Linked DNA regions of Arabidopsis thaliana. The protein of the gene in region 1 interacts with the protein of each later gene in a pairwise test. Each region holds a gene or a part of one and is shown in the gene's direction. Other genes may lie near its edges. The genes, in order: MYB117, RHA1, HB34 and AT5G43540.

Region 1 (6,174 bases):
GACTTCTCCTTTGAATTGAATTGGATCCTATGTTACTCTAAATGTGCACGTGTTCATCATCTCCACCTCTCATTATCATTACCAATCCTTATTCTTGATTTAAAACGGATTTTAATTTTCAAAGAACTCAATGTTTACTTGCATTGACTACTAATTATTGAGGACATCTAAAATATCTAAGAAAAAAAACTCTTGTTAATCAATAAAAAAAGATCCCATATGTAAGTAATTTTATTTCTTTGCTTTTTTATTCTTAGTCTAAGATCACTAATCACATAACATATTACATATAGATGGATGCCACGTCAGAAAAGAGTCTATTTGAAAGCGAACTTTTCTTTCGAGTAAAACACAAACCTGACCAAACGTGTAACAAAATTAAACATTATCGTACAAGGGGACATTGTAACACATGAATAACTAAGGTTGATAAAATTTGTAGACGGACATAAAGAATTCCAAGAAAAGTGAATTAGGTGAAATTTAAATGGGCTATGGGGTCAAAGAATGGTCGAGAAAATAAAAATTAGATTATGTCAGACGAGTAAAATTGAGCTTTGGATTAATTCCAACGTTTTAGTGATTCCTTATTACACATTTGATGTATTTTTGTGACAAACTGACAAAAGTATATATTAATGCTATGTTGAAAAAGGTATGTTCAAGCTTGTAATCAATTTTGGACTGAGTCACGCATGGACCGTAGCTAATATATCCACCGAAACGGATTGACCATGAGATCGCAATCTATTTTATACCTCAGATAATTTTTGTCCCCTCACTATATGAGCTTTACATACATCTGTTTCCAGAGTAATTTAGTTGCTTATTCTGTTAGTCACTCCCTAAAACAAGCTACTACACTCGATCAAGCAGTAACATCAAACTCCTTTAATCTTCCAAGTTAGACTCTCTTCTTACTTTTCAAGGTATGTTTAAATATTTAACATGTTTATAAATAATTCCATGTGTAAATAGAACATATGTTTTTAATAACTTAGTATTTTAGACGAAAGAATCGAAAATCTAGTACTAGTCTACTGGATATAAACAAAGTAACAAGATAGATTCATAGCCCAAAACAAAAGAACAACCAAATCGAAGTCCCACTTTAGCTAGTGGCTCTACTTACAAACAAACATAATTAATAGTGTGTTTCACCATATTTTATTTCATCATTTCATTTTAAACGGTAAAAAAAAACTGATTACAATTTTTATAAATGTTTGTTCTGCAAAATATAAAATTAAATAAAGCTGCATAACTTTCTGTTTCATAAAATTATATAGTTCATATATACTTCTTCACCCAACCTTTTATTTCATATTTCATATATAATATTAATGTGTATTTCAAAGTGATTGACCAATTAAAAAGAAAATATGACGAAGAGAAAGAGAGTTTGTAGTGCGTTCGGTTAAATCTCTGTGCAGAGGATCGTACAGTTCTGAGACCCCTTTTGTATCTGTATTTATCCCATATTTAATGGTTACGTCTGCCAATTGGGATTTCTGGTCAAATACGAAAAGGTCTTAAAAGTTATTTCTTTACATTTTTACTGTTCATTCTCATTACTTATACACACTTCCACACGGCCACATTCCTCATGTATGTGGGATATTTAGGGTTGAGAGTTTTTTTGAATTGGCATTGTAATATCTCGTTATTAAAAACCATGAGACTGCTACAAAGAATAAAACAGTCAAAATTTCAAGATTATTTGATACAACATGACAAGGAGAAAATGAGTATATTGAAGCGATGTTTAATTAAGAAAAAAATTGAATGAAGAAAAAAGATTGTGGTTAATTTTTTAAGATAAGAGAGGGTTTCACAGAAACAAAAATGGTAGTAAAAAGTAAAGGAATGAAAGACAAGTGGAGATTAAGAGAGAAAGAGGTAAATTTTAAGGAACCCAAAATGAAATGAAAGAAAAAGCTGTCTGAGAATTGGTTGTGCTAAGAAGAGACCCGACTCATTCCCCAATGGTAAACTCTCTTTTTGCCTTCATCCTTTTTTGGTAGTTAGTTCTGCTTCAGCTTTTTTTCTTTCATCTCATTAGCTTTTATTATTTTCACCTTGCACCTATAAAACATGCATTGATTAATAGAGGATAAATTTCACCTAATAACGGTAAGATTCATTTCGGACTCGTCCAAGATATTCTCTACATTCATTGTTTTTTAGGTCGACACTCCCAACATTAATTTATTTTGTCATAATCCATTGGTTTTCATTAAATAAAAGAGGAAATACTATCTTATACATCAAACTAAGATAAACATTAATTATTCATAAAAGTAGGAAATTTGTATAAGGAACCATAGAGAAGCAGCGTAATTAATGTTATCGTTTGATTATGAACCCTAATACGACTATAAAACTATTGCATACTTTTCAATTACTATCAATCTATGGACATGGAAAAAAACTTGGTCTTCAAATCTTAGTTACTTTTAAATTTAATAAATGATTTATCAGAAAAACTCTTTAACTTCTATGAAACTAGGTACACCTGAACAAATGTATAACAGTCCACAGCAAAATCGAATATCGATAATACACATTTGTACTTACTTATTACAGTAGTGTATATGTAATATATATAATAATGTATAAATGCAAAGAACTCTGTCGTTTGAATTAGTCCGTGACGACGGTCCATAACCCTTTTTAACAGTCGTCAGAAAACACGGTCGCGACATGTACATACACGCACATACCTAAAGCCATACGTAACAAACACACCATTATATACAAAAGATATTCTATTATTTTTAAAAAATAATATTTATGACACACATTTACGTACGTGTATATATAATATGCAAATGCACTCACATAAGTCTTTCTCCTCCGATGGTATATGTCTATAAGCTGACGTGACATCTCTCTTAATTCTCAATAACACTTCTCTTCTTCTTCCTTTCTCCCAACACTAACTCCATGTTTATAACGGAAAAACAAGTGTGGATGGATGAGATCGTCGCAAGAAGAGCTTCTTCTTCTTGGGACTTCCCTTTCAACGACATTAATATTCATCAGCATCATCATCGTCACTGCAACACAAGTCATGAGTTTGAAATCTTGAAGAGTCCTCTTGGAGATGTAGCGGTTCACGAAGAAGAGAGTAATAATAATAACCCTAATTTCAGTAACAGCGAGAGTGGTAAGAAGGAGACAACAGATAGTGGTCAGTCTTGGTCCTCGTCGTCTTCAAAACCATCGGTCTTGGGGAGAGGACATTGGAGACCAGCTGAAGATGTTAAACTCAAAGAGCTTGTCTCCATTTACGGCCCACAAAACTGGAACCTCATAGCTGAAAAGCTTCAAGGAAGATCTGGTAAGTTAAATCAAAACCTTATTTATTTTCTATTTCTTTTGACAGCAAGTTAAATCAAAACCTTATAGATCTTCAAAATTTCATCAAAACCAGTTTGTTTGATTCATCTGGATCTGTCAAGTTCTTAAGATCCGGTGATAAAATCAATTTTTGTTTTTATTAGTTTTCTTGGTCTTTAGCCTTCTATGTCCAATCTAAGTCCTAACGTAATTTTTTTTGAGTTTTATTAACTTAATCTTGATTGTTTTTAAAGGGAAGAGCTGTAGACTACGATGGTTTAACCAATTGGACCCGAGGATAAACCGAAGAGCTTTCACAGAAGAAGAAGAGGAGAGGCTGATGCAAGCACATAGGCTTTATGGTAACAAATGGGCAATGATTGCGAGGCTTTTCCCTGGTAGAACTGATAATTCAGTGAAGAACCATTGGCATGTTGTCATGGCTCGTAAGTATAGAGAACACTCTTCTGCTTACCGTAGGAGAAAGCTTATGAGTAATAATCCACTTAAACCTCACCTCACCAATAATCATCATCCTAACCCTAACCCTAATTACCACTCTTTTATCTCCACTAATCATTACTTCGCTCAGCCTTTCCCCGAGTTTAATTTGACTCATCACCTGGTTAATAATGCCCCTATCACGAGTGACCATAACCAGCTTGTGTTGCCTTTCCATTGCTTTCAAGGTAGCCTATAGCTCTTCCTCCTCTTTCAATAGTTTTTTCAATTGTCTTTTGCATATTTTGAACTCTTTTTTGGTTTTTGTTATATCTACAACGTTCAGGTTATGAGAACAATGAACCTCCGATGGTTGTGAGTATGTTTGGCAACCAAATGATGGTCGGCGATAACGTTGGTGCCACGTCAGACGCGTTATGCAATATTCCGCACATTGACCCTAGTAACCAAGAGAAACCGGAGCCAAATGATGCAATGCATTGGATCGGAATGGACGCGGTAGATGAGGAGGTGTTCGAAAAGGCTAAGCAGCAACCACATTTTTTCGATTTTCTTGGCTTGGGGACGGCGTGAATGTTGAACAAATTGGTGTTAATCAGATAACGACAGTGGTTAAATTTGGTTACAAAAAAAATAGCATTTAGCTTTAGTAGCTAGAAAACAAACAAACCAGATCCTAGCCTTTGTCCTTGCGTTTACGTTAATTACTAAACTGTAGATTGTTGTTGTTGGCACTTGGTTGTCTAGTGTAACATTTGATAAGTCATTGTTTTTAGTAGTACTCGTTCAGAAATATTTAACAAAGAGAGATTGGTTTTAAAAAGTTGATTCTTTTATGATGAAGTGACGTGAAATATTGCTAAAGACGTGTTGAGAATAACAACGAGAGAGAGAGAGAGAGAAGGGAAATTAAAAAGAGTGGAGTTTCTAGGAGTTGGAGAAAGAGACGAAGATGCGTAATTAAGAGAAGAGGAACTGCCAAAATTGAGGCAGAGATTGTGCAACAGAAAGGCCAAACATGAAACATGCTCACCAAATCTCACACACACATTGCATTTGTTTCTTCTCTTCAAACCGTTTTTCCAACTCTTCAAGCTTCTTACCTATGTATCTCTCTCATGTCACGCGGACCCACACATGCCCTTCTTTCTTGTAATTCTTTCCATGTTGTAGATATAAAAGAAAAATTTAAATTGAATTGTTCTTTTGTATAGTTTTGGTTGGGTTAAAAAAAAAGGAAAAAAATTAGTTTTGGTTTTGAATATGAGTTTTTAAAATAATATATAACGTGGATAAATGTATGGGTTTTTCGGATTTTGAAAGGTTGTTGTAGAGAAGATTTTTAATTTACCCATTGGGTCTGAAATTGCTTCAATAGGCCCAATCTATTTCGGAGATGTTCTCGAGTCTCTCTTTTTGGGAACAAACATCCGAGTGAAGTCAATATTAAGTGATTTTCGAAAAGATAAAAACTATTCTAAAACTAATTAACATTTTTCCACTCATTTTAGTAATTCTCCCAAAGTAAAGTGCTTAAAGAGAGGGGGAAAAAAGTGCTTAAAGTGTTTTCTTCTTATTGTTTCCCTTTATACGCAAATGAAGAGACTTATTTTATTTTCAAAGAAAGAGACTTTTATGTTTCTCCTTTAGCTTTTAGTTTGTACCAATCAGATGGATTCTGTACCAAGGACTCCAAGTTAAGATTCTCTACTTTTTCTCCTTTACATGAAAATTCACACATATGTTTTTTTTCCAATTAATTTATACACTAGTACTACAAAATACAAATAATGGAGTAAACAATATTTTCGAACCACATTTACCAAAAAAGACATTACACTTCAGCATTTCCATCTGTTTGGATAATCTACAAAATGGGGATTGTGGTATATAAATAAGATAGATATTAAAAGTTAATTCATCACACAAAAAAAGGTATCTACAAAGTTTCTTTTCTCCTTTAACGTTATATGCTCTCTCTGAAGTTCATAGATCTTGCCATGGCTGCAGGGTTTGCTTGCAGGTTAAGATACGTTTCAGGGACGAATCTGTTGTTGCTGCTCTTTGTTTCAGCTCCATTACTGAAAAAGCTGAATTCTTGTGTCTTCTCGCGGGTCATCGGTACTGGATACCACACATGGTTATTTGTAGCCATACTTGTTTCATTTTTGATGCTCTGAGATTCCAAAAGCAAGCTTGTTCTCTCAAAAGCATTTTTACTCTCTTTAACAGTTTCATGAGAAGTTTCGTCTCTTGTCCTTTTCCCAAGACATGTAGAAGTGTCGAGGGTAGACCAAACCGGTATCGCGCAGCCCCAGTAGACGGGCATGTGGTAGAAACTAGGGTTTGGAGGGTATTGGTAAGGCCAAG
Region 2 (6,540 bases), on another chromosome or scaffold:
GATTAGTGTTTTTCTTTGTGATTGAATCAATGGGTTTTTAATGAAGATTTTGAATTTGAACAGTGGACTGAGTTTGACAAGATCGAGAACTTTTTGTGTGGGTAGAGTTAAATTATGGGCCTTTATTGGGCTTTTTGTTCAATGGTGTGTTTACATATCAAAACTTTTAAGTTGTTTTTGTTTACTAATAAGCCATATTATGAAACAGTAGTTTTGAATAATTACAAAGAAAACAAAAAAAGATCAATCAATATATTTTAAATATTTTTTTGGATCACTTTAGAAGCGGAATGTCAAAGCTTTATCATTGCAATACAAAAGTTATGGATAAGAGGTTACATGAAATTGACTTTTGAAGGAGACTGCAAAAATCTAGTCAATAGCTTGAATGGAGGCAGCTCAAGATTTGATTTGGTTAACTGGACCTATGAAAGAAGAGCATGGGAGAGAATATTTGAGCAATTGACAATTGGACACTAGGAGCAACAAATCAAACCTGCAGACATTTTAGCGAAGAAACAACAAACAGAAGTTTCAGACTTCATATCTCATTTTCATATTCCTTCTTGTATATCCAATGAGTTGCACTCAGATTACATTGATCCAAGTTAATGAAAGTTGATTTTTTTTTTTAAACTACAGTAAATTCTCTAGAAATTCCATTAATATATAATTACTAAATTATGGAGAGATTTTACTAATTTTTTTAATTTCTTACAAAATTATATCTGAAAGCAGGTTTCAATATAATCAATATTTTTCTAAAACCAATTATAAAAAGAAAATTAATTATGAAGTTTAGAAAACAATACAAACTTTTTGATATAGTAAAAATTTTAAAAATGAATTGTACCAAAAAATAATCCAAATATAAGAAAAATGAACAACATTAGAGTCATAATTTCATTAAAATATTTTATATATAATTATAGTAATCTATATATGACATATATATATAAATAAATTACTATCATATATATATATATTGATAAGTTTATACAATTATTAATTTATGATAAATGATAAGGCTATATTTTAACATAACATTTTCAAAAATTTATTATCTTATTGTTTTATCGATTTGTGTCAATTCTACATTGGTTCCAACTTGCATCGGAAGAATTTTTTAATTTATATAGATTATTAATTTATCGAGTATTAATTTATAGAAATTTTACTATACCATGATTTGAGGACAACAATGTTTATTTTTAATATCCATTTAAAGTTTTAATTATTATAATACTTGGCTTTTGGGACATATTCTTAGAGATCTTTAAGATATGTATATTGTAAAATCTTAACATATGTTGAAAGCTCAATTATATAATATTACTATATGTCAAATTATTTTGAGACTACATAATGCATATCTAATAATTGTGTTTACAATAATCCTATATAAATAGAGGTTGATGAGCAAGCGACTAAGTTGCAATCACATTTCGTTTGGATCATCTATCACCAACTTTCAAACTTTCAATTTTTTTTATAGTTTCCTAGTTTTTGGAAAAATGGTTTTACTTTTTGTAAGAAACTTGTACAACAAAACATAAATATAACTACACATATTAGACGAAGTTATTGCGTATATTAAAAATTTATAAAAGACTTGATTGGATTTTATTGTTTGCAGAAAGAGGAGCTTCAATTTAAGGTTGGATCTATTGACGAAGGGACTAGATATGACGCATTACGATGTATCGCTAATTGTGAAGGTACACCAACTCAACCAAATATGTAGTTGTATTGAGCTAAAATAAACCATTCGTTAGAGATATAGGGATTTTATGTAGATCATTTTATTAGGCTTAATATTTTAGTCATTTACTTATTTGGTAAATAACAAGAATATACATTCATTCATTGTTGATTGAAAAAACTTGGACATGATAAATTGGTATGTGACTTCCAATATTTTATAATGTATATTTTGTAGATGGATGGATAGAATAATAACCAACACATTAAAATGGCAATATATAACACATTTTCACTAAAAATGTTTTGCCATAAACTGCAAGTTCTCTAAATTAAACAATGTTTACAAATGTTTTTATTTTGTTTTGTTTTGTTAGGAGTTGCTTTTGTTGATTTTGATGAGGAAGAGGCCACAATAATTGTGAAGAGAGAAAAACTCGATGAATGTAAAATTAAGAAAAAATTAGATAAATTTTTGAATGAATCTAAAGGAGGATGTTTCTCTTGTTTTAGTCGCTAATAATTTTTGGAGAAGAAGTGAAGTGAACTGGTAATGGAAATCAACTTTCAAAATAAAATGAAGTTAAAAGAAATTACAAATAGATTCTCATTTGTATTTCTCCCTATTATAATCTACAACATCATATTTTTCTTAATTTGATCAATCTTCATAAGTCAAAATGATCAACAACATTACAAATTTATTATGTTTTTTTTGGGTCAAATTATATGAAATTATATTTGGTAAATTAAAAAGAAAAGAAAAAGAGAGTTGATTGATAATAATAAACCACCAAACCCGTCTTTTAGACACAACAGTTGTTGTTGCCATTCATACGCGCTTCCATCAACCCTTTGGTCTTGGAAGCCAAATCAAACCTTTCCTTCAATCCTCAAATTTTCGAAAATTTTCTCTTTTGCTTTACGTTCTCTCAATTCTTATTTGTAAGAAAGTTTGTTCCTTTAATCAATCAAATCAAAGAGACTTTTGAAGATTGTTTCCCAATTTGCGTCAATCGGGATCGAGTCAAATCTGAAATCTTCTCCACTCATCATCTGGTACGTTTGATGATTCCAAATCAGAAACATTAAAGGACAAGAAATGTTCGAATTTTTGATTGATTCTCTCTGATTTTCAATCATTTGGTTGTAGAAGCAAAAGGGTTTGGTTCATTCATTCTCTCGTGTTGCCCTTATTTCGGATTCGGATAGATTTGGAGCTAAATTAGGGGTTTTGACTTTTTTAGTTTCTCCCATTCAATAAATTTCGAAGCTTGTGAGGGAAAAGTCTTGGTTTTTATTGTCATTTATTACTTTGCTTCTTAAAGCTTGAGAGATCGATTCGTATATTGATTCAAACACTTGACAGTTGTGTCTTAAACTGGAATTGTTGCAATTAAATGTTTATGTTTTCAATGAGTCTCTCTAGTTGAGTTTGATTTCAGCTTCTTGTTCTATCCAACAGACTATAAGACTTAATCAAGGGACTTTTTGTTCGGGTTTGGTTTTAAACGTCTTGGATTCGAAGTGGTTAAGGTATGGATGAAAATAATGGAGGTTCAAGCTCACTTCCACCTTTCCTTACTAAAACATATGAAATGGTTGATGATTCTTCTTCTGACTCGGTCGTTGCTTGGAGCGAAAACAACAAAAGCTTCATCGTCAAGAATCCAGCAGAGTTTTCAAGAGACCTTCTTCCGAGATTCTTCAAGCATAAGAATTTCTCAAGTTTCATCCGTCAGCTTAATACATATGTAAAGCTTTTGTCTTTGTATCTCATCTCTTTGGGGATTGGTGTTTGCTGCATCGCTAAGATTAACAACCTTTTTGTGTTTTTGTTTGCGTAGGGTTTTCGAAAAGTAGATCCTGAGAAATGGGAATTCTTGAATGATGATTTTGTTAGAGGTCGACCTTACCTTATGAAGAACATTCATAGACGAAAACCGGTTCATAGCCACTCGTTAGTGAATCTACAAGCGCAAAATCCTTTGACGGAATCAGAAAGACGGAGCATGGAGGATCAGATAGAAAGACTGAAAAATGAGAAAGAAGGCCTTCTTGCGGAGTTACAGAACCAAGAGCAAGAACGGAAAGAGTTTGAGCTGCAAGTAACGACATTGAAAGATCGGTTACAACATATGGAACAACATCAGAAATCAATAGTGGCATATGTTTCACAGGTTTTGGGAAAACCAGGACTTTCACTAAACCTCGAAAACCATGAGAGAAGAAAAAGAAGATTTCAAGAGAACTCTCTTCCTCCAAGCAGTTCACACATAGAACAGGTCGAAAAGTTAGAATCTTCGCTAACGTTTTGGGAGAATCTTGTATCGGAATCATGCGAGAAGAGCGGTTTGCAGTCATCAAGCATGGATCATGATGCAGCTGAGTCAAGTCTAAGTATTGGCGATACACGACCCAAATCATCGAAGATTGATATGAACTCAGAGCCGCCCGTTACCGTTACTGCGCCTGCTCCAAAAACAGGCGTTAACGATGACTTTTGGGAACAATGTTTGACAGAGAACCCTGGATCAACCGAGCAACAAGAAGTTCAGTCAGAGAGAAGAGATGTCGGTAATGATAATAATGGTAATAAGATTGGAAATCAAAGGACGTATTGGTGGAATTCAGGGAATGTAAATAACATTACAGAGAAAGCTTCTTGACATGAATGAGGTTTTTGTAAAATAGTTTTCTTTTGGTTCCACTGAGATTATTGTATGTGTTCATTATTTATTACTCTGTTTCTGTAAAAACAAATCTCTCTATTGTTTGAGGCAGGAGTGACATAAATGCATATGCAGAATTGGTTTCTTTGCCTTCATATTTCAGTTATATAATTTACAGAGTCAGTTTTGTTTGTAGCAAACATATGAACAAAGAGAGAGTTACAGAGTTTAGGAAAAGAAACAACAAAATTCTAAAAAGAATTAAAAAAGCTCCGATGCCGGGAATCGAACCCGGGTCTCCTGGGTGAAAGCCAGATATCCTAACCGCTGGACGACATCGGATTTGATGTTCATAGAACTCTTATTAACTATATACTCAATGATGGACCAAACAAACCAACGAAGGAGATCAATGAAACAATTGGTTTTGAGTTATCTGACAACTATTTCATCAAAAATAATACAAAATGCAAGAAATTTTGTCATGCCCTAATAAAAAATAAAAACTCATAATTATTTAGCTAAATAAAGATTTCTTGATCAAAGATTCAAGAAAATTTCTATAGCTACAAAGATTACATTATGATCTAAGAAAAGAAGTAAAGCAAAATAAGAAGAAGAAACAAAACTATCTAGGAGGAGATCTCGTTGATAGACATTTCCCACAAGAGACAAGCTTCAACAACGAATGTAATCGTAACTTCCTTGTTCTCACCTTCAATCTCGATAGCTACAATTTCAAAGTTTCAATTTTTCAATCACAAAGACAACAAACAGAGTCATATATATAAAGAATAGAGAGAAATTGAATGTGTTTACCTTGCGACGAGTGCTTCTTGATGCTTTCCAACATATCAAGCTTCTTGATCTTGGTTCAAGTTTCCTGCAAAAACCAACGAATTATCAAACAAAACTGTAAAAAAAAATTTTAGGAACAAGTTTTGGTTAATCTTGTTCTTACAAATTCTCTTGTTCAAGCTTATTTGCAATCTCCACAGCTTTGTGTTTCGACCAACTGTTTCCTTCAGCTTGTTTAATCACTTGAGCCAACGAAACTTTTCCTCTCACAATGCTCTGGTTCTGATTTTGGTTTTGGTTTTGACTTGCTTCCAAGTGTTTCCTTCTAACTCGAGTCATTGGAGATTCAGAGTCAGCCACTTCAACGATTTCGCTTCTTCCGCTTTCACGGAATCTCTCACCGTTGCTTAAACCTTGTAATGACGAGAAACCGAGGTCTTTCTTCGACTCGGTTCTCATCTCTAACGTGACTGGAGATCCAAGAACAGCCTCAAACGCTTTCAAAATGTGTTCTTCGAAATTCTCAGCCGTTGATTTCGCTATTGGCGAATTAAACATTAACTGCACCATAGGAGCTGCGAAAACTACGAAGTTAGAAAAGCTTTGTTTTCAATATGAACAATGTTCTACTACGTTTATGCATTTACCTGAGCCGATACTAATCGAAAAGATCTTCCCTTCTTTATAAAGAAACTCTCGTAAGCCGTTAACTCGAACATTCTCGATAACCGCTAACCAAATATCTTCAACGGAAGGTCGGTTTTTGCAGCTGAAACCTTGCTTACTATCATCTCTTCTTGTTCCGGCTACAACATGGTTCGAAGGATCCGAATCCGTCAATGGAGTATGGTTAAAGCTAGCATCAGCAGAAGAACTATGCGGAAGCAAGTACTGTTTATCAGGAGCTAGCTGTAGCAATGCAGCAGTGAGCCAAGTTAGTTTATCGTTCGATACTCTCAACTGTTTTTCTGATTCAGATAGTGTTTTCAAAGCTTGTTTCAGCTTCTCCATATCTTCTTTAGACACTGGAACAACGGAAAAGAAAAATCGGTTATTACAGTTACAAATACTTCTCATTTTGGATGATGGAAATGTTTGAAAAGCTCACGTGGTTGTCGCCGGAAAAACTTTCTTTTACATTGATCTTTAGTGAAGTCATAGCTTCCCGCGAGGATATCGGTTATGACGGTTGCGAGCTGTGACATCAAAGCTAATGGTTCTAGGCCGGTTTCCATTATTATTCTTAGGTTCTTTACGGTGTTTACAGTATCCGCGGATAAGGCTAGATCAAGAAGATCAACTAATTTCTCATCAGATATTAACCCAACCTGAAAAGAAAACAAGAACATAATGAGAACAATGCCAATGG
Region 3 (5,986 bases), on another chromosome or scaffold:
TAATGGAATCAAATTTTGGAAGAGACTAAGTGGAAAAAATAGTGAAACTAGTTTATGTATATTTCTTTATATTTACACACTAAATAAATTGTATGAATCTTAGTGTACAAAAAAATAGTGAAAGGTGACTATTTTTAAAATAATAAATAATAAAATGATTGTTTTTTAAATTATATTTGGACAATGACTATTAGTCTAGTCACTAGTCTATTTAGTATATTTTTCAACTAATTAAAAAAAAAAAATACGCAGGTGGTCCTCGTGTAGAGAGACAAAAATGGTATTTATCTTTTTAAGAGTATATTATTAATGGTTTTTTAAAATAATTTTTAAATTAAGAGACATGTCTTATAATGTCTTATAATAGCTTATAACTAACAAAAATCTCTTATTTAAAAGACTTTAAAACACTTTAGTTAGATATAAGACATATTTTTTAATTAATAGTTATGTTAAGATACCATCAATAAAAATTGTCTAAGATGGAGTAATATAGTAATTTAATATAGTCCATTGGGCCACTGAAACTTGTCCAAAATCGTTTTACAGTATATCACTAATTTGGTTCGGGTCAGCTAAAAATATGTTCTTAATCTCTCGCGGTCTAAGTTAATAGCCACAGTTAGAAACTAATGCATTATAGCTAATAAACGTACAAAAAAAAAATATTGTTTTATCTTCTTCTGATAATCTGATTCCTGATCTAGAAAAATGTGGTTCCATCATTCTTTCGACCAAGAAAATAGAATAATTCTTTATCATCAAACAAAAAAAACAATAAAGAAAACTTAGTCCCCAACATAATATACATCTTATTCTCATAATAGACATCATTAACCATAATTTTTATGCACCGAATCTGTATATCTAATCCATGTACAGAAATATTTGTAGTACGAAATTCAAAATACACATAGATGCACATAATTTATTTGTGACAAAAAACGAAGAAGGCAAAGATTGTTATATCGGACGTAATATGTGGTTTAATATTTCACGTACCACTTAACTGATGTTTGATGGTGGTGTACGAACCGATTGAGAGATAATTAAAAAAAAAAATCGAAGGATCATATTTTTCGTGTTTGGTTACCGATCGATAGGTTGAATTTCTCGGTCCAATGATGCAATCATTCGTTGGAAAATAATTTGTGATTTCAGAATCCAAAAACATGCGTACAATACGACCTTCTTATTTGCCAATTCATTTGTATAGTGATTATTCTCATCACTATGGTTTAGTCATCATTGGCTTTGTTCTGAAATGTTTTTCTTTATTTTTTTTGGTTTTAGCCGTATTTTGCTTGTTCGAAAGAAGGAGCAAGTTGTGATGCTCTTGATGTGATCGCCCAGAAGAAACTTTGGCCACCGACTTCGTTTTTCTCGGCGATGGTCGCTTGGTACGAACACATTGGCCTTGGCCCATGGCGTTTGCTTGATTGTTTGTACACACCACCGCACATGACAGAGAATCATCAAAATTTGAATATTTTAAATAATAAATATAAATTACATATATTTAGTAAGTTCCGATACTAATTTAGATTTTAGTCTATGACCTTGAATGACGGTAGTTTTTAGACATTAGGTCTTAGTTTTAAACCCAAAAGACCGAATTTGATATAGGATCTATTTATGGTAACCGAAGAATTTAACTGCATATGACTAAAGACATGACTGGTTTAATTGCAGCGGACGGGGCTGTGGTTTCGCTTGCGGTTGCGGAAATTTGCGGAAGCGAGATATTGTGGTTTCAAGCGTTTTAAACGACTAATTTAACGTTTCAAAATAGATGCATTTGCAGAAATCTTATGACTAGATGCAATAATAATTAAATAAATAAAAAAGATCCAAAATAAATATAATATATAGGATTAGATACAAATATGAAAAGATATATACAGAATTATATATATTTATCTTAATTACAAATATGTTGATTATTTATTATTATTTTAATATTTTAATTCAACCGCTACCATCCACAACTACAAACGTTTGCGGGAAGGAGTTTTTGAAATGTATTGATATCGAGCGATCCGAGCAGTATCCCGCGATTTATATGATTATTGTCAATCACTAACAATTGTTACCACATGTAAATGATGCGTTTGCATGTAGTAGAAGGAGAACCAATCAACCCCTTAACTGATGATGGCTGAATTTATTTTAAAGGTGGCTGAATGACTTCAAATGATAACCACTGAATTTATTTGAGATTATTCATTTTTCAATATAGTTACCTGCTGGTAACATATATTTCCTCCATTCATAATAATATCGTTTTAAATATTTTTATATAAATTATTAATATATATTATATTTTAAAAACCAAACTGATTCATACTTTATAGATTTTACATTGAAAATTTAGAACAATACTTATTTTGGAAAAAATCTTTAAACAACAAAACAGAATAAGTATTTTTTTTAATATTATTTTGTGAAAAACAACTATTTAGTTTACAATAATACCTAATAGTATAAGTAAACTTTTACAAAGTTGTTCGGTAATTACATTGTAATAGTCAAATATACAAAATGCTAAACATATTTTAACAGAAGGAACAAATATTAGAATAAAGTAAAAAGAAGCCAACTTCAAAAAAAAACAAGAAGTGTCACAATGCATGAGAATATTAATTATAATTGGACTGTCTTTAGGTTTAAGACATTTATTACTCTATATATATTTCCCCACTCCCTATTACAGGTCCCACTTTTAACCATACATTTAACCATAGTTAAATCATCAAACCCTACCTTTCTCTGTTAAACATCTTCAAGCTCTGTCCTTTTATTTTAAATATATTTATTATTCACATTTATTAACATTTTTATATCTCTCCCTATTAAATTATTTTATTCTCTCTTAGCAACATTCATCAACCAGAGCAGATTCACTATCATCATCTTATAACACATCTTCTTCCTCTAAAGTTTATTTTCTTAAACTTATTACAAAAAACATGATCTTCAAAAGTTGATTTAATCTCTTTTTATCCATCTTCTTCTTCATTTCTCAATATCAAACTTTTCTTTTTTTGTAAGCTTAACATAAACCCTAATATTTTCTTGATTTTTTTCAAGAAAATAAAAACATAAAGATGCTTGAAGTTAGATCAATGGATATGACTCCAAAATCACCAGAACCCGAATCCGAAACTCCGACCCGGATCCAACCAGCTAAACCAATCTCTTTCAGTAACGGAATCATCAAACGCCACCACCACCACCACCACAACAACAACAAAGTCACTTACAAAGAATGTCTCAAGAACCACGCGGCGGCGATTGGTGGTCACGCGCTTGACGGTTGCGGCGAATTTATGCCGTCTCCTTCGTCAACACCTTCCGATCCAACTTCTCTCAAGTGTGCAGCTTGTGGTTGTCACCGTAACTTCCACCGCCGTGAAACTGACGATTCCTCCGCCGTTCCACCACCGTCTCTTCTTCCATCTTCAACAACAACCGCCGCAATTGAGTATCAGCCTCATCACCGTCATCATCCTCCTCCTCCGCTAGCTCCTCCGTTACCACGTAGTCCTAATTCATCTTCTCCGCCGCCTATCTCTTCCTCCTACATGCTTTTAGCTCTCTCCGGTAATAATAAAACCGCACCGTTCTCAGATCTAAACTTCGCCGCCGCGGCTAACCATCTCTCCGCCACGCCTGGCTCGAGGAAGCGATTCAGGACGAAGTTTAGCTCAAATCAGAAAGAGAAGATGCATGAATTCGCCGATCGAATCGGTTGGAAGATTCAGAAACGTGACGAAGACGAAGTTCGTGATTTTTGCCGTGAGATCGGAGTTGATAAAGGTGTTCTCAAAGTTTGGATGCATAATAACAAAAACTCCTTCAAATTCTCCGGCGGAGGAGCAACCACCGTGCAGAGAAACGATAACGGTATCGGCGGCGAGAACAGTAACGATGATGGAGTTCGCGGTTTAGCTAACGACGGTGACGGTGGTGGTGGGAGATTTGAGAGTGATAGTGGAGGAGCTGATGGTGGCGGAAACGTAAACGCCTCGTCGTCTTCGTCGTGAAGAAGAAAACATCATGTCGTTTTGCAGGGAAAGAGTTATAATAATGGAAGCTTAAGCTTTGTTTTTAGCTTTAGATCATAGAGAGTAAGCACTGGTATTATTATCGTTAATACGTTTTATTAATATTAATTAAACTCTTTTAGCTCTTTTTTAATTTTCCAATTTTATTATAATTTCATTACCACGACGTTGTCTTATTTTTCCATTTAAAGTAAGTTTATATCAACAAATTGGATTATGTTATAATAAGTCAATTTTGGTTAATTTAATGAACCCTAATGAGGAAAATTTTATAACTTTAATGTTTTTTTTAATAATATGTTTTTTGGCTTCTTATCTTAAAAGCATTTTGTCTTTTTAAATTGTAACGTTCCCAAAGGTTTCATAATACTTTTCCACTAATGGAAAGATTATATGAACTAATCACCCGAATTAGTCACAACACTATAGGTCAATTTAGGTAATCAAACGAACCCTAAAATGTGAGTCCCAAACATAAATAAACTATTGCAATTTAGTTAATTATTTAATATTATTTGATGGTTTCTTATCTTGAAGAGTACTTTGTCGCTTAATTTAATATGCGATCAAACTAAGATCTAGGTGTCCTTTTCATAAATCTCTCTTTATTCTTTGAGAAAAGAGACAGGTTTTGTTTTATATATTAATTATTCTAATAATATATTTTGCAATGATTAGTTATCTTGGTGTCTAATTAACAAAAGATTCATCGGATAATTCATTTTAATTTCCTCATTAATCCATTTCTTTATCATCCTTACATTCCCACTATCCGTTTTTGGTATATATGCTCAAGTGTTCGATATTCTTAAAGTGCAAACTACAAATAAGTATATATTATATAATTGGGATCTAACTATTATTATTAAAGTGCTATATAGTGTTAATTTAGGGCGTGGAACTAATCATTAACTTTACGAATAATTTAAATAACTTTCTAACTGGGAAACGTAGAAATGCAGCCGTGATTATGCGATAGGCTTAAGACAATTAGATACTAGTCGTGATTAATAAATGTCGGCTTACCAAACATAAAATATTAATAAAACTGTAATTAGATTAGAATATTGCATGAGAAAGCACAAAATATGTTATGTAGTATGCTTTTGGTGTCTAGGATTTAATTCTTAGAGAATACGTTTTGTCTAATTAGCTAGATTTATGGATAAAACTATCTAAAGATGTATAATATAATGTAGATAGAATATCTGGGTTTCTATGTGAATTGTCAATTAAATTTGACCTATGAATGAATATATGCAATGAATTTTATATTACAATAGAATTGTTTGTTGTGCATTCGTTTGTAAATACTAAATAGGTAGTACTATTAATTATGTTTTATAAAAAAAGAAAATTTTGGATTATATTATCATTATGGTTTTAGAAAATCAAATTATTTGTTGAATGATGTTGTAATAGAATAAAAATCTAAACAGTGATAATTCACTTGATTACAGAAATTTATCGAAAAAATCTGAGGTTCAAGTTTTTACTTAAGAAAAATGGTTTACGTTTTTAATAAGTTTTACTAATTAAGGGGTTTTTGGGTCAAAACTAAGGGTTGGTTCAATATATATGGAGAGAGATTTTGGTAAAGATCTATACATTATATATATATATATATATTTTACGTTATCACCAAATAGAATTTGTTAAATTTATGCTAATAAACAAATTAATATATATTTGCTATTATTTTACAGATTTCGTGAAGTCACAAATCTCTTTTTCGTGGTAGGGACAAACTTTAACACAGGGTGAGGTTATGGCCCTAACTGCCATATACCATGTGCACAGTGCACCACTTACTAATTTGAATTATTCCTGACGTAACTATTGCTAACAAAATTCCTACTTCTTATTTTAATTTATATAATTATTTTTTGGAAACATAGATGACCTAATTTCCGCTATAA
Region 4 (5,124 bases), on another chromosome or scaffold:
TGGTAAAGAACTGGAAGGAGTCTTCAAAGGTTTCGGAGCTGCTCAAGTGCTTAGAGAAGATCAAGAAATCTGGTTCGGGCGAGAAGAGCATTGTCTTTAGCCAGTGGACTTCATTTTTGGATCTTTTGGAGATTCCATTGCGAAGAAGAGGATTTGAGTTTCTTAGATTCGATGGGAAGCTGGCTCAGAAGGGAAGAGAAAAGGTTTTGAAAGAGTTCAATGAAACCAAACAGAAAACGGTAAGTCATTGTCTAAATTTCTAACTAACTCTTGTCCAAATCGAACAGAGAGCTTAAGATCTTTATGCTTCTGCTTCTGTGATGTATTACAGATTCTGCTTATGTCTCTGAAAGCTGGAGGAGTCGGTCTGAATCTAACTGCAGCTTCAAGTGTCTTCTTAATGGTACCATCTCTCTTCAAGCTTTGTTTTTTTAAGTCTTCTTGATGATGATGAATTGATCATTTGGTTATGTTTCTTGAAATACGTAGGATCCATGGTGGAATCCAGCGGTGGAAGAGCAAGCGATCATGAGAATTCATCGAATAGGGCAGAAACGAACGGTATTCGTCAGAAGATTCATTGTCAAGGTAACACTATAAACTGCAACTTTCTCTGAGTTTCTAGCATCGTAAGCAAGATCTCGTAAGTAAGTAACATTGTGTTTGTTTTGGATGATTGTGTGCAGGATACAGTGGAGGAACGGATGCAGCAAGTTCAGGCAAGGAAGCAGAGGATGATTGCCGGAGCTTTGACAGATGAAGAAGTCCGGTCTGCAAGACTTGAGGAGCTTAAAATGTTGTTCCGATGAGAGACTTGGAGAAAGTCTTCTTTTTAATCGTCTTTTGAAGTTAGAGAGTCTTCTTTTTGTTTTTTTTCATGTAAATATTGGTACAAGTTATTTATCTTTCTCCCCTAATGAGTTATAAGTAATTTTGAACACTGATTGTCTCGATCCACATATTGTGTATATGAACAGTTGAACGTGGATTATGTAATTTTGAAACATCAGTTACGATCAGAAAAACAGACAAAAAAAAAGAAACCAGTTTGGAAAAAGCAGCTTCAGTGGTTTAGATCAGTGGGTCAAAGAAAGATGTGGCAACAAATCTGGTCAAGTTTTTCTCACCATTCCTCTGCTTCTGCAGATGAGTAACTACTAAACTAAGTGCCGTAACCTACAAGCAAGATTCTAATGATTTTGTCTTATATTGTTCCGTAACAAACTACGTGTAAAATACGGCACTGCCAAAGCTACATAATCAAATTTCAGAAGCCAGATTTTTCCTATGCAAATATTGTATGAGTATGATATAGCTACAATCTACATAAGCTACTTAACAAATATGTTAGGTTTTGTCGATTTTCGTCTATCCGATGAATCTAGTCATGAATCAAAAAGTACTAGTGTATACAAATATATTTGCAGGTTGCAACCAAATTATATAGAGAGACGAACATCCAGCCTGGAAACGTAATGTAAGAAAAAAGGAAAAAAAAAATCACTAAAGTAACAAAAAGTGCACCAGCCGGGAATTGAACCCGGGTCTGTACCGTGGCAGGGTACTATCATGCCACTAGACCACTGGTGCTTTTTGCGGAATGTTGTGGAACTAGGATTCTAAACTAATGATGGAAAGCAGACCAAACCCAAACAAACCGGATTAGGTGTACATGTAACGTAATCAATCAATGATGTGGCAGTAATTAAACGAATCAGTGTACTCGAGTTGCAATCAAATGACATCTTCATTTTTTCGAGCTGTTTAATCAAGAAAATACTATTTACGATCACCTAAGCTAATATTTATTTTTAGCCCATAAACTAAAGTTTAGTTTTGTACTCTATTATGTCTATGTTATCTTTATCTCTTTGATAAATTTTTGAAAGTTTATGACTTATGAATTATGATAATTCGTTTTCATCAAAATATTGTTTTTGTTTTAGTAAAAAATGATCGTTGTGATATTTTGTAGTAGAAAAAGTAAGCAGTCAATCGAGACCTAACTTTTAAAAACGTTTTGCGATAAAAGGTTAGATTATTACAAGACAAACACAAAAGGAATATTTTATAAATTAAAATATAATAACACGATTGATTTAAACCACTCCCTTGCCTTTTAATTGTCATCATTTCTTGTAATTTTGTGGACTAATTGAAGAGTTTAGTTGAAGTTGATTTGGATTTCAGTTAACTGGATTAATGTGAGGATTGGTTTTATCTGATTTATAATCAAATCTTTAATTTGTTATGTCTCTTTCGATATATATTTTGTTTTATGTTCGTTGCTTTGTGTTTATATACGAGTATTGTATTGTAAACAAAACTACTAGAGACGATAGTAAATATTGTTTTACTGATTAAAAAATCATAATCTTATAATTTATTCTACATGTGTATTTTTGTTGGAAACAAAACTGTAAAAGTTTTAGATAATTGTGAGATCATCACTACTCACAAAATAAATATATTTTTTCACTGATTTACTAGAGAACCAATTGAATAACATGGTCTAAACGTAATTTTTGAGGAGCAATACCTTCTAGTGGTATAAATTTATTTTGCCTCTTAGATTTAGCTATATAAACTTTCTATTATTAGCAAGTTAATAATTAATAATAGGCTACATTTATAATCTAGATATAAATAATACATGAGAATAAATAAATAAATAAATCCTTCAAATACGGTGATAGTTATAAGAAAAAATTGGTACATAAATATACGAAGAAAGAAAAAGCCAAATCATGTCTTCCAAACATATAAACACACATCAAGAAAAGTATTATTAGTCTTATATATAAATTTTGTTTCCTCTATCATATAAACCATCCTTATATGCACTCAACACATTTGACAACTCTTTCATCTTTCATCTTCCCTTAAAGTCCTATATTTCGGGTATCAATATTTCTTCAAAATATATATCCCTCGATCGATCGAGGCAACACACACATATATATATATATATATGGAGTGTGAGAGATCATCGTCGTCCACGTCATCAGAAACCGGAGCAGTCAGGCACCGTCGTACGTCGTCGTCGTCAGTCTCCACCGTGACGAGACGAATGTACGAGTGCACTTTCTGCAAAAGAGGTTTCACAAACGCACAAGCTTTAGGTGGTCATATGAACATCCATCGACGTGACCGTCTCAACAAGGCCAAGGTGCAAAACGATGCTGACGTGGCACTCTCGCAAACTCATAGATGTTTCCACGTGGCGTCTGACCTTGGAGGCTACGAGCAAGTAGACTCCGTCGTGTTGAGGACGACGACCTCGAACTACATCCAACACTTACGAATCGGCTCGATGGCTACAAGGAGAGAAAACGTCGTCGTTGAAGGAAATGAAATCGATTTGGAGCTGCGTCTTGGCTTATGATCATCAACTTCTTACCCTCTATAGATGTATAATAATACGTTTTTTTGGTGTATATTATATGGTTTTCGAGGTTGATATATGTAATCTAGGAAAGCGTATATGAGACTATAATATGTCAAGGTAAGATATTTTTGGTGGGTATTTATTTATGCATGTTTTGTGATCTATCTATGAGATATATATAAATCTTTTATCTTATATCATATTATTTTCATTATAGTTTTTTTCCATAACATAGTGAAATCTGTCCCATAATTAATTAATTGTCCAGATCTTCGCATTCTATATATAAAAAAATTTGGCAAATAGAAAATCTGTCCCCTGTAAACGGATTAATATGCTGCACCCGTGGTTCTAGGATTGCGGTTTTTAATCCCACCACTGGCGGTTTGGTGGTATTGCCCCATGTTAAAGCCAACGGAAGAGACATCTACACACGTCTCGGATACGATCCTGTCGATGATCAATACAAAATTTTGTGTGTGATGATGTTCCTTAAGTGTGACGACGGCCATAGACAATACGTTATAGAACAAGAGCATCTGGTTTTATCACTAACATCACACTCATCGTCGTGGAGAAAGATCGAGATCTCGGGAGATGCTTACTCCTACTTAGAAGGTGGGATTTGCATCAATAGTGCTATATACTATGGTGTTGGACATACAAAGATAGCTAGATTTAATATTAGATCCGAGAAGATAATGTTTATTCAAGCACCAGAGGATTATAATGCAATCTCATGTTATTCAACCCTTACAAATTACAAAGGAAAATTAGCATGTGTAAGCTATGACTCCTATTGTGAATCTAAGTTGCGTGTATGGATTCTACACGATGTTGAGAAAGAAGAATAGTCAAGCATCATGACTTGTGTTGTGCCTTGTGACAAGGAGCTATCTTTGTGCAGTGGAGAGAGTCATAACAACGAGGTTGTAGTGGTATCTAGATGCTTAAAGTCATCTAAGCACTTTTTTGTTTACTATTTCGATATGGTCAGAGAGAGTATCATCAGAAGAATTGAGGTTGAGATTGATGGAATCGCCGATTATGAGTTTAGACATATCAATGGAATTGGTAAACATGCTCCTAGGATTTTGTGTTTCCCTGGTCACATTGAGAATCTTATGTACTTGTAAGTTCTAAGTTCTACTCTACCATAAGTTCATTAGCTTCTATTTTCATTTTTAGCCGTTTCAAATCGTTTTTTGTAGTTTGGTTACTTGTTCATGGACTCCTTTTAGCCGTTTGTTTTCTCGAACGCCACAACTACGTCTACCATTAGTCATGGACTCATGGTGATCACCTAATGTAAATGAAGCACGAGTTTACCAAATTACAATGACTGTAAATTAATATTTTCATTCAGTTTGAATGGTCAACGCAAATACGGCATTTCTTTAGATGGGCTTATAACGATAATGGGTTACGAACGGCTTATAGCCCATTCAAAGTTCTTATCTTTCAATTTCAAGTAATTTGCTTTCAAGCCCTTCGAATCTACCAAATTCCAATGACTGTAAATTATTTTTTTTTCCCCTCAAAATACATATTTACAAATATTAATTTACTTATGTATACAGACATTAAAAGGCACTAAAATAAGCTAATTATCATGATATAAAAGTAACTCAAGAGGAAAAGTAACTAAGCTTACATGTAATTCATAATTAGGTGACATCAAATTTACTATTTTTTAATTTTCTGCTGAATTTTTTTATTTATTAAATATACTTATT

Evidence for each region.
Region 2: the proteins of MYB117 (region 1) and RHA1 interact in a two-hybrid assay, tested with the Arabidopsis thaliana proteins (one large-scale study listed by BioGRID).
Region 3: the proteins of MYB117 (region 1) and HB34 interact in a two-hybrid assay, tested with the Arabidopsis thaliana proteins (one large-scale study listed by BioGRID).
Region 4: the proteins of MYB117 (region 1) and AT5G43540 interact in a two-hybrid assay, tested with the Arabidopsis thaliana proteins (one large-scale study listed by BioGRID).

The regions. Positions count from the first base shown.
Region 1 is NC_003070.9:9,268,087-9,274,260, forward strand, and holds MYB117 (myb domain protein 117), read left to right. Parts: upstream 1-2,865; 5' UTR 2,866-2,946; coding exon 2,947-3,343; intron 3,344-3,596; coding exon 3,597-4,031; coding exon of another isoform or gene 4,032-4,042; intron 4,043-4,129; coding exon 4,130-4,377; 3' UTR 4,378-4,627; downstream 4,628-6,174. Other genes in the region: AT1G26790 (Dof-type zinc finger DNA-binding family protein), read right to left, coding at 5,771-6,174. UniProt on the Arabidopsis thaliana protein: Probable transcription factor that involved in boundary specification, meristem initiation and maintenance, and organ patterning.
Region 2 is NC_003076.8:18,538,337-18,544,876, forward strand, and holds RHA1 (winged-helix DNA-binding transcription factor family protein), read left to right. Parts: upstream 1-2,328; 5' UTR 2,329-2,760; exon of another isoform or gene 2,761-3,166; 5' UTR 3,167-3,239; coding exon 3,240-3,455; exon of another isoform or gene 3,456-3,548; coding exon 3,549-4,370; 3' UTR 4,371-4,527; downstream 4,528-6,540. Other genes in the region: AT5G45720 (AAA-type ATPase family protein), read right to left, coding at 5,002-5,103, 5,193-5,256, 5,335-5,746, 5,819-6,196, 6,280-6,499. UniProt on the Arabidopsis thaliana protein: Transcriptional activator that specifically binds DNA sequence 5'-AGAAnnTTCT-3' known as heat shock promoter elements (HSE). May be involved in general response to auxin.
Region 3 is NC_003074.8:10,938,658-10,944,643, reverse strand, and holds HB34 (homeobox protein 34), read left to right. Parts: upstream 1-2,810; 5' UTR 2,811-3,107; coding exon 3,108-4,046; 3' UTR 4,047-4,339; downstream 4,340-5,986. UniProt on the Arabidopsis thaliana protein: Putative transcription factor.
Region 4 is NC_003076.8:17,494,022-17,499,145, forward strand, and holds AT5G43540 (C2H2 and C2HC zinc fingers superfamily protein), read left to right. Parts: upstream 1-2,833; 5' UTR 2,834-2,971; coding exon 2,972-3,385; 3' UTR 3,386-3,673; downstream 3,674-5,124. Other genes in the region: AT5G43530 (Helicase protein with RING/U-box domain-containing protein), read left to right, coding at 1-239, 332-403, 490-588, 687-809; AT5G43550 (F-box associated ubiquitination effector family protein), read left to right, coding at 3,871-4,242.